2 linked regions of the Alligator mississippiensis genome follow. The protein of the gene in region 2 binds, or shares a complex with, the protein of the main gene of each other region. Links are inferred from orthologs where the notes say so. Each region holds a gene or a part of one and is shown on either strand. Other genes may lie near its edges. The genes, in order: APLN and APLNR.

Region 1 (3,906 bases), on a different chromosome or scaffold from region 2:
TCTAGACATCTACGTTCAATTCTGAGCTCTGAGACAAACTTCTTGTGTGATACCAGAGAGGCGGCATAAGGAATCCTACCTTTCAGAGGTGCTGTGAACAGAGCCACAAATGTCTGTCACCTACTTGGGTCCTGGAGAAATGGGGATTTAGAAGTGAGGACAAGTGGTCTCACGGAGTCTGATGAGACACTCACTCCCATTTTCAAGAACAGAGAGGAAGCTCTCCGTTTCAGGCTCTTGTCATCCAGATGGCTGGCTTTGCATGTGGCATCTGCAGGGATGTGGGTGTCCTCTGTAACTCTCTTGCGCCTCTTCATGGGTGAAAGTGTGCCACATTCCTCACCCCAGCCGTTATACCTGCTATGTACAGAAAACAAAGGCACTGAGCAGTCAGGCAAAAGAGGATCCAGCCTGTCAAGGCTTATCCCCTGGCCCTAGGCCCTCACCTGCACTGCTGAACACATGGGGATCTTGGAGGGCAAATGCTGTTTGTATGATCTGAGCAGGCCCAGTAGGGTCACCCTGGGATGCTGCTGCCTGAGACAGGGGTGTGGAGTAGATGACCTCTGCCTCTCTTTGACTGACCGTGAGTGAGACCTGAAGGGCCGAGGGCTTTCCTTCCTTCTCTCTGTTGCACCCCACCAGGCACCCCTGCCCAGCAGGCATCGGGGCTCATCTCCGCCTTCCCGGCGGTGGCCGCCCCCGCGGGCCGCTGCTGCTGTAGCTGAGGTGGCCCCGGGGCCCAGCCCCTGCCCGTATGTGCGCGACACCCCTGCGGCGCCGGGGGCCGTGGGGGGAGCCCTGCGCGGGGCGGGGGCGGGCTGAGCGCCATCCCCGCGCCCGTCCCGCGGGGGAGGCGCCCCGGCCACGGCCACATGACCGGGCGGGCCGGGAGCCAGGCCGCGCGGCTCCTACAAATGCAGCCCCCCGCGCGAGCGGGCGCAGTCGCTCCCGCAGCAGCCGCCTGGCGGACCCGGCCCGGCTCCTGCCCACACCGCGCCGACGCGCAGGCAGCGGCAGCCCGAGCGGTGCAGGCGGACCATGGGCATGCGGCGCTGGCTGCTGGCGCTGCTGCTGCTCTGGCTCGCCGTCAGCGCGGGCTGCGGAGGTGAGTCGCCGCCGGGGCCCCCGCCCGCCGGGCACTTGTTGCGCAGCGGGCGGCGGCCCGGGACACCTGCGTCAGGTAGCGGAGCCGCCGCCCCGCCCCGCCCCGCCCCGCCCCGCTCTCTCGGCCCAGCCTTGCCGCCGCAGGCCTGTCCTGGCGCGGGGCCCGGCCTGAAGGACGGCGGGACACCCGGGGCCGCTGGCACCGCGCGGGGAAGGGGCGGGGCGGGGCGGGGGCGGGGGCTGCGGGCCCGGCGCAGCCGGCGGTCCGGGCCCTGCGGCGGGAACCTGTTGCGGAGCCCCGGCCCCGGCCCCGGCGCCCTGACCCCGCAGGCGGGCTCCGAGCAGCCTGCAGCTCCGGAGCTAGTCCAGCCCCGAGCCGCCCGACAGCGCAGGCTTGAGGCAGCCCTTGGGGGGGCCAGGCACTGGGGCTGGTGCTCGGGCGCGGGGGCACGGGCACGTGCTGCCTGGAGGTGCCCGGAGCTCGCACCTATGCGGGGGGTGAAACCAGCCCCTGGAGGCAGAGGGTTAAAGGGACCCTGTAGCCCCTTGGAGACCTACCTTGAAGGCATGGGGTAGTCCACTGGAGACATGCTGTTTGGTGCTCTTGAGCCAGGGAGGGGAGATGGGGAGACGCACACCTGATCCTGAGTGTTAGGGGTCCCCCTGACAGAGCTGCTGCCCACAGTGACTTGCAGTCAAGGCCAGTCTCTTATAGGCACAGCTTGGGGCTTGGCTCACTCCTGAGACGGACAGTCACCACACCAGGCAATCACCTACAGGTCCCAGTTGAGTCTGGTCTGTAGTAAGGGGTGCTGTGCTCACTGTCAGCCTGGTGACACTAGTTGTTAAACTGGCTCCCACTCAATTGTGTCTGCTGGCAGCTGCCACTTGCCAGGTACTGCCAGGATTGCCTGAGTAGCTGGGATCCTGTAGCTTCTGGCTTTCTGGCCCCAGGCTGAAGGTGGGTCACAGAGGCTATCTGGGACTCATTCAGTAATGTTGCCCCCTAAGTTTTAAGCCAGCCTTCCAGTGCAGTCTGATGCCTTCTACTTCCATTTCCCCTTATTCCCCCAACCTACCAGAACAGTGGAGGGGGCACCTGGGAAATGCCTGGAGTAGAAGCAAGGAGTACCAGCTCTATTCAGCCACTAAGATGCTTCAAGCACCTGTAGTTTAACTAATGTTGAGCCTGGAGGAAGCTGCCATAGTGCCAGTCAAGCAGAGGGACATCTGCGTCTCTAGAGCAGAAAAGTAGGCAGCATTAGGGTAGTAGCTTCCCTAAGCATGGATGTGTAATGTGTACAGCCCAACCTTGTAAAGGCCCTGCCCAGCTGAACATCCACTCGCCTGCCACACTCCATGCTTGCCTTGTATGTCTCAGCCACCTGTTCTGGTCAAAAGGACAAGAGTTAAGCTGTCTGGGAAAGAGACTGTCATCCACTATGAGCAGTGCCTGGGATGATGACCTGACAGGCCTCTTGGCACTACTGCCATGTAACCTAACTAAGTGCTAGGGACCATACAGCATCAAGGGAGAGTGAAGCAAGTGGACAACAGGTGAATGCCCTTAGCTGTCCCATGGAAGGATGGGGTTATGGAGAGGGCAGAGAGTCCAAGAGGAAAGGCTGTTGCTGATGCGTACAGCATGGTGAAGGTTCTGAGTGAACCGGAGCAGCCAGAATGCATGCATGGTAGCCCAGCCCAAGGGAGAACTGGGCACACTGCGGAACCAAAGCCTCCATCTGCTGGGGTGGGAGGTTGGAATCAACCCACAGCTGTAGGGTGGTTGACTTCTGAAAATACCCCATGAGGAACATCTTTCCATACTGCTTCTGCCTGATGGGCAGTAAGTGCTGGGAGGGACTTTTCTTTCCTCCTTGTTTCAGGAGAAGATTCTGAGGGATACTGTTGCTGCTCTATACAAAAGACCCTCGTGAGTGAAACCAAAATGGTTGTTAGTATTGCATGCAGCTAAATTAGCCTTGGACAGCACCTACTTGCAGGAATTGCAGGGAAAGCAGCTCATGCAAATGCCTGCTTCAGGCCTCCTGCTGTCCAGTTCTCTGTTCCCAGAGACTAGCCTGGACTTCCCTTGTCTCTTAGGAGAAGGCATTTCCCCCACTACACACATTGGAGATGATTGTGTTGCTAACAAAGATTAAAAGATTGTTCCCACTCTTAATTTTGCCAGGGAGGTGCTTTGAGACTGCGTTTTTCTACTCTGCCCCAGTCCCAGCTCTGAGTGCCAGAGTCCTGTCCTTCCAAGAACAGCTCTTTGTAGTGTCCATGCTGTACCATATAGTGACAGCAAGGCTTTGCTAAGCAGGCTGGTGGCTATGGTGCTGGGGTGCCTTCCTAAATGCTTTGATGTGGGGGTCATAGTCTTTTGCAGAACAGAAGACCAGGACTCCAGGGCTACAGCTCCAGGACCCCTTCCCCCGCCCCTCCCCTTCCTCCCCTGCAAACCATCCAGCCATAAAGGAGAAAGTAGGGTTAAGGCTGGGGAGCGGGGTGGGCGGTAAGTCATGACATGCCCCAAAGTAGCCTGCCTTAGCTGCCTCTGAGTGCTAGAGGATCCCAGCAACAGAGTGGATGTAGAACTGGTGCCGTGTGTCTGATGCTTCCAGCAGAGCCCTGGGAAGCTGACTCCAGAGCTGCTCTGAGATGCATTAGTAGGACAGGGGCTGTACCTGGCTGCTGAGGTGTAAGCAGTGTCCTAGCCCCCTCCTGTGGCCATAGCAGCTAGTGTGTGGCAAGGACTATGCAGAGCTGACCTGGGGAGCATGGGGGTTAATCAGC
Region 2 (3,906 bases):
AGCTCAGAGAATATACTCCCACAGTCCACCCATCCACAGTCTCATGGATTGGATGCTCCCCTTCCTCCCCCAACCCCTCTGACTCTCCTGGGCCTTGCTCTGGCACAGAGAATACAGGCAGCATATAGAGGTCCAAACAGTCCTGGTGCCATGACAGACTTCAAGCCCCATACTTTTGGGGCTCCTGGCTCCTCTCCAGTCAATGCCTGCCCCCGGCCCTTTCTTGATGCATGCAGCGAGACACACAGTCAAAGCTCCTCCTGTAGCCCACTGGCCCTAGGGTATGGCAAGAGGCTGACAGTGTAGCCTAGTCCCTAGTGGGTAGAGCTGAGGTCTCATCCTGTATGCACTAATGAACAGCTGCATGAACTTGGTGATGTCATTTTGCCTCCCCCCGCACCTCAGTTTGCCTGTCTGCTACCAGGCAATGTTACTGTTTTTTGTAAAGAACATTGAGACCTACTGATGGCAAGAGCTACTGGGGGCAGGTTACAAAGTAAAGGGGTATATGATACACATTTCCAAAAGTGCCCCTGCCATCCATATGAGAGGGTATGGGGTGCAAGGGTCACCTCATCAGACTCCACTTAGGGGAAGGGGGGAGGCTTTTCTATCTACTCCTCCCAACACACAACCACAGGGCCAGTTCTTCGCTCAAGGCTTCTCAGACCTTTACTTCCTGCTGCTAAATTGAGAAAGAAGGCAGACAGTTACGGGGGGGTGAAAGAAGGGACTGCAGCCCCACGTCTTCCTCCATCCAACCTCAAAAGGTACAATGAATTTCCAGAGGGCCAGGAGCAAGGCTTTCAGGAGAGGCAGCAGCACTAACCATTCTGTTCAGCCTCAGAGCACAGCAGGGGTTGCAAAAGCAAGGTCTAGACTCTAGAGAAAGAGGTAGACCGGAGCTGGATGATATGGGGTATCCTCCAGCCTCCCCACCCATGCCCCAAAAGCAATGAGAAACAGACAGCAAATCATGCTGAAACCTCTCCAGAGCAGGGAGAGAGGGCTTCACCTCAGCTAACCTCTGTCCCTAGCTATAAGCTAGGTCAAAGAGAGATTCAGCATGACTATGGAACTTTATCCATACCAGCCCTGCAACAGAGGAAGACAGGGAGAATGGGAGAAAGAGAGAGAAAGATGGAGGAAGAGAGAGAGGAGAGAAATGAAGAGGAAAACCTGGGAAAGAGGAGGAGAATTCATGAAAGGGAAGGTGAAGGACAAATGAAAGAAGCTGAGATGGAGTGAGAGTGAAGAACAGAAGGTGGGAAGGGAGAATGAGGAGAAAAAGATGGGTCTGGCTCTACTTGTCCCTGGTAGCAGGCTTACTCTTAGCCCCGAACCAGCGTATCATGAGTGTCTGGGCTCACCTTCTCTCTCTGTGTCTCCCCACCCTTCCCTGGAAGGTTCTGGCTGTGGCCAGAGGAGTAGCTGGCTGATTTATCCCCACCAGAGCCTGACCAGCGGCCCTGGCTGCAGCCCAGGACAGTGGTGCAAGCCTGCCGGAAGCGGGGGTCAAAGAAGGCATAGAGGAAGGGATTCAGGCAGCTGTTGATGTAGGCCACGCAGGTGCAGTAAGGGTGGAAGTTGTTGAGGAAGGTGTGGAAACTGCAGGACCAGGGCATCACCTCCAGGTCCATCAGCACATATATAGTCTTCACAAGGTGGTAGGGCAACCAGCAGACAGCAAAAGTGACCACCAGCACAATGATGATGGTCAGCAGCCTCTTCCTCTTTTGTAGCCCCTCATTGCGTTCCTTCCGAAAGTGTCCAGCAATGGTGCGTGCAATGAAGAAGTAGCAGGTCAGCATGACAGCAAAAGGAATGACAAAGCCCAGCAGTGTGGAGGACAGGCCCAGCCCCACCTCCCATGCCCCCTCAGTCCCATTGGCCACCATACTTGAGTAGTCCATGTAGCAAGTGATCTTGTCCTCCCCACGTAGCATGGCTGCCTCACGGAGGATCAAGGCAGGCAGGGCCAACATAGCCGCCAAGACCCACAAGGTGATGGTGGCCACCAGCCCACTGGCCCGTGATCTCAGTTTGGTGCTAGCCATTGGCCGTACAATAGCCAAATAGCGGTCAAAGCTGAGTCCTGTTAGGCAAAAGACGCTGGCGTACATGTTGACAAAGACCAGATAGCTGCTAAGTTTGCAAGCGAAGGTGCCAAAGGGCCAGTGATAATTCAGGCAGGTGTAGGCAGCCCACAATGGCAGTGTGGCTACAAAGGTCAGGTCAGCCATGGCTAGGTTGGCAATGAAGGTGTCGGCTGAGCGCCGCTTCTCGCGGCCCCCCCGAAAGATGGTCCACAGCACCAATCCATTGCCTGAGGTGCCCAGAAGGAAGACCAGCAGGTAAATGGTGGGAATGAGGGTCAAGGATGGACTCCACTCTGTGTACTCACAGTCACTAGTCTGGTTGTCAAAATAACTGCTGTCGTCATACCCCAGGTCCTCCATGCTCAGGGTCCTGACTCCAGGGATCGGAGAAGGATGCTAGAAGGTATCTTCTTCAGCCTGCTCCCTCTCTGGATAGAGGCTCTTGGGATGTAGCCTCACCACGTTTGCAGTCCCTTCTTTGCTGTCCAAGTTGGGTATGGGGGAGTGGGGGGTGAGTTTGAGTCCTCCGTGCTCAGCTCATTCCTTCTTTCTTTTCTTCTTTTTTCCCTCGCTTGCAAAGCCTCAGACAGTTGTGGCCAGATCCTTTCCTGCCTTCTCTCACATGCAAGCTCAGAGGCAGCTGTTCCTTCCTTTTACCATTCAGTCCACAGGCTTGTGCTTTAGGATCTTTAGTTACAACCTCCCCTTCACTCTCCCCTCCCCTCCCACCCCACCCTGTCCCTCCCCTTTGCCTCTCACACCACATCCTTATGTCAAGTAGACAAACAGACTCCAGCAGTGCAGGGCAGCATAGGGCAGCTCAGTCTGCTACTTGCATCCACAAATGTCCACCTCCTATCCCTCTGTCCCAGCTCCCTGGGGGCTAGGGTAAGAATGAGGATTGAAGCCAGCTGGAGCTGCTGGGGGGAAGGGGGGAGCTAGTGCTCAGTGTGAAATTTCACAGATACCCTTAGCAACCCCACTAAGTAAGTCAGCCCTGTTTGTCTGTCCCTCAGCCTCCTTCTGCCATTTCCAGTGTTTGGTTTCAGGGGTTTTATTGGCAGGAAAGGGATACTGTCAAAGCAAATACATCAGCCCTGGTTAGTCCCATCTCTGTGAGATCTAAGATCATGTCCTAATGCAGTGGTACTCAGTGCCCTCTGGATCCACCAGGGGACTTGTTTCTAATAATGTCTCTACCACGTTACTGAACATGCACTGGACAGGACTCCTAGTGCATAGCGTGCTCCTATCTGCAGTGCAACCTTTTTCCTCTCCATGTTTTCCCATAATACTAGGTCTCTGAGCCTGGCTGTTATTACAGTGTAGGTGAGATATATATCTATTTGCACTACAGTTTGTGCCACATTAGCCACACTGTCCTGGGTGAATGTCTCCTCATGTAATTCCAAAGTTCAGCCTAGGCAGGACCTACTCACATTCCCATGTGTCCCCACTATTTTACTTTTATTTATTCCTGTGACCACACGCAACAGATAAGTTCAAAAGTGCTGGTAAAATCCTTACAGGAGTTACAGTGTTGAAGTCTAGGAGCCATACTTCAAAAAAGATGCTTAAAAATTGAGGCTGTCACCCACAGTGGTTAGGATGACTCAGCAGTAGTCTAAATTCATAACAGTCTGGGCTAGTACTAGTGATTGCACTTTATTAAGCCAACAGTAATGGGGACTGGGTCATTGAGGCTAGGCTGTTACATGCAGCCGTACATGATGCCATCCGCATCACTCCTTTGTGTGCTGTTGGTAACAGAAATTAGTGTGTGCTGTAAACCAGCTAGCCCAAATGA

The links.
Region 1: the proteins of APLNR (region 2) and APLN are in contact, whole or in part, in a cryo-EM structure (PDB 8XZG), measured with the Homo sapiens proteins. The link is inferred for Alligator mississippiensis from reciprocal best matches to the Homo sapiens genes APLNR and APLN. Residues at the interface, in NP_005152.1 of Homo sapiens: Tyr35, Phe78, Trp85, Tyr88, Thr89, Tyr93, Ser106, Ile109, Phe110, Met113, Pro163, Val164, Arg168, Gln180, Cys181, Tyr182, Met183, Tyr185, Glu194, Glu198, Leu201, Gly202, Ser205, Tyr264, Lys268, Tyr271, Ser275, Cys281, Asp284, Leu285; in NP_059109.3 of Homo sapiens: Arg66, Pro67, Arg68, Leu69, Ser70, His71, Lys72, Gly73, Pro74, Met75, Pro76, Phe77.

What each region holds. Positions count from the first base shown.
Region 1 is NC_081831.1:39,782,931-39,786,836, reverse strand, and holds the start of APLN (apelin), read left to right. Parts: upstream 1-940; 5' UTR 941-1,041; coding exon 1,042-1,108; intron 1,109-3,906. UniProt on the Homo sapiens protein: Peptide hormone that functions as endogenous ligand for the G-protein-coupled apelin receptor (APLNR/APJ), that plays a role in cadiovascular homeostasis. Functions as a balanced agonist activating both G(i) protein pathway and beta-arrestin pathway of APLNR.
Region 2 is NC_081825.1:172,970,937-172,974,842, reverse strand, and holds the start of APLNR (apelin receptor), read right to left. Parts: upstream 2,780-3,906; 5' UTR 2,460-2,779; coding exon 1,371-2,459; intron 1-1,370. UniProt on the Homo sapiens protein: G protein-coupled receptor for peptide hormones apelin (APLN) and apelin receptor early endogenous ligand (APELA/ELA), that plays a role in the regulation of normal cardiovascular function and fluid homeostasis.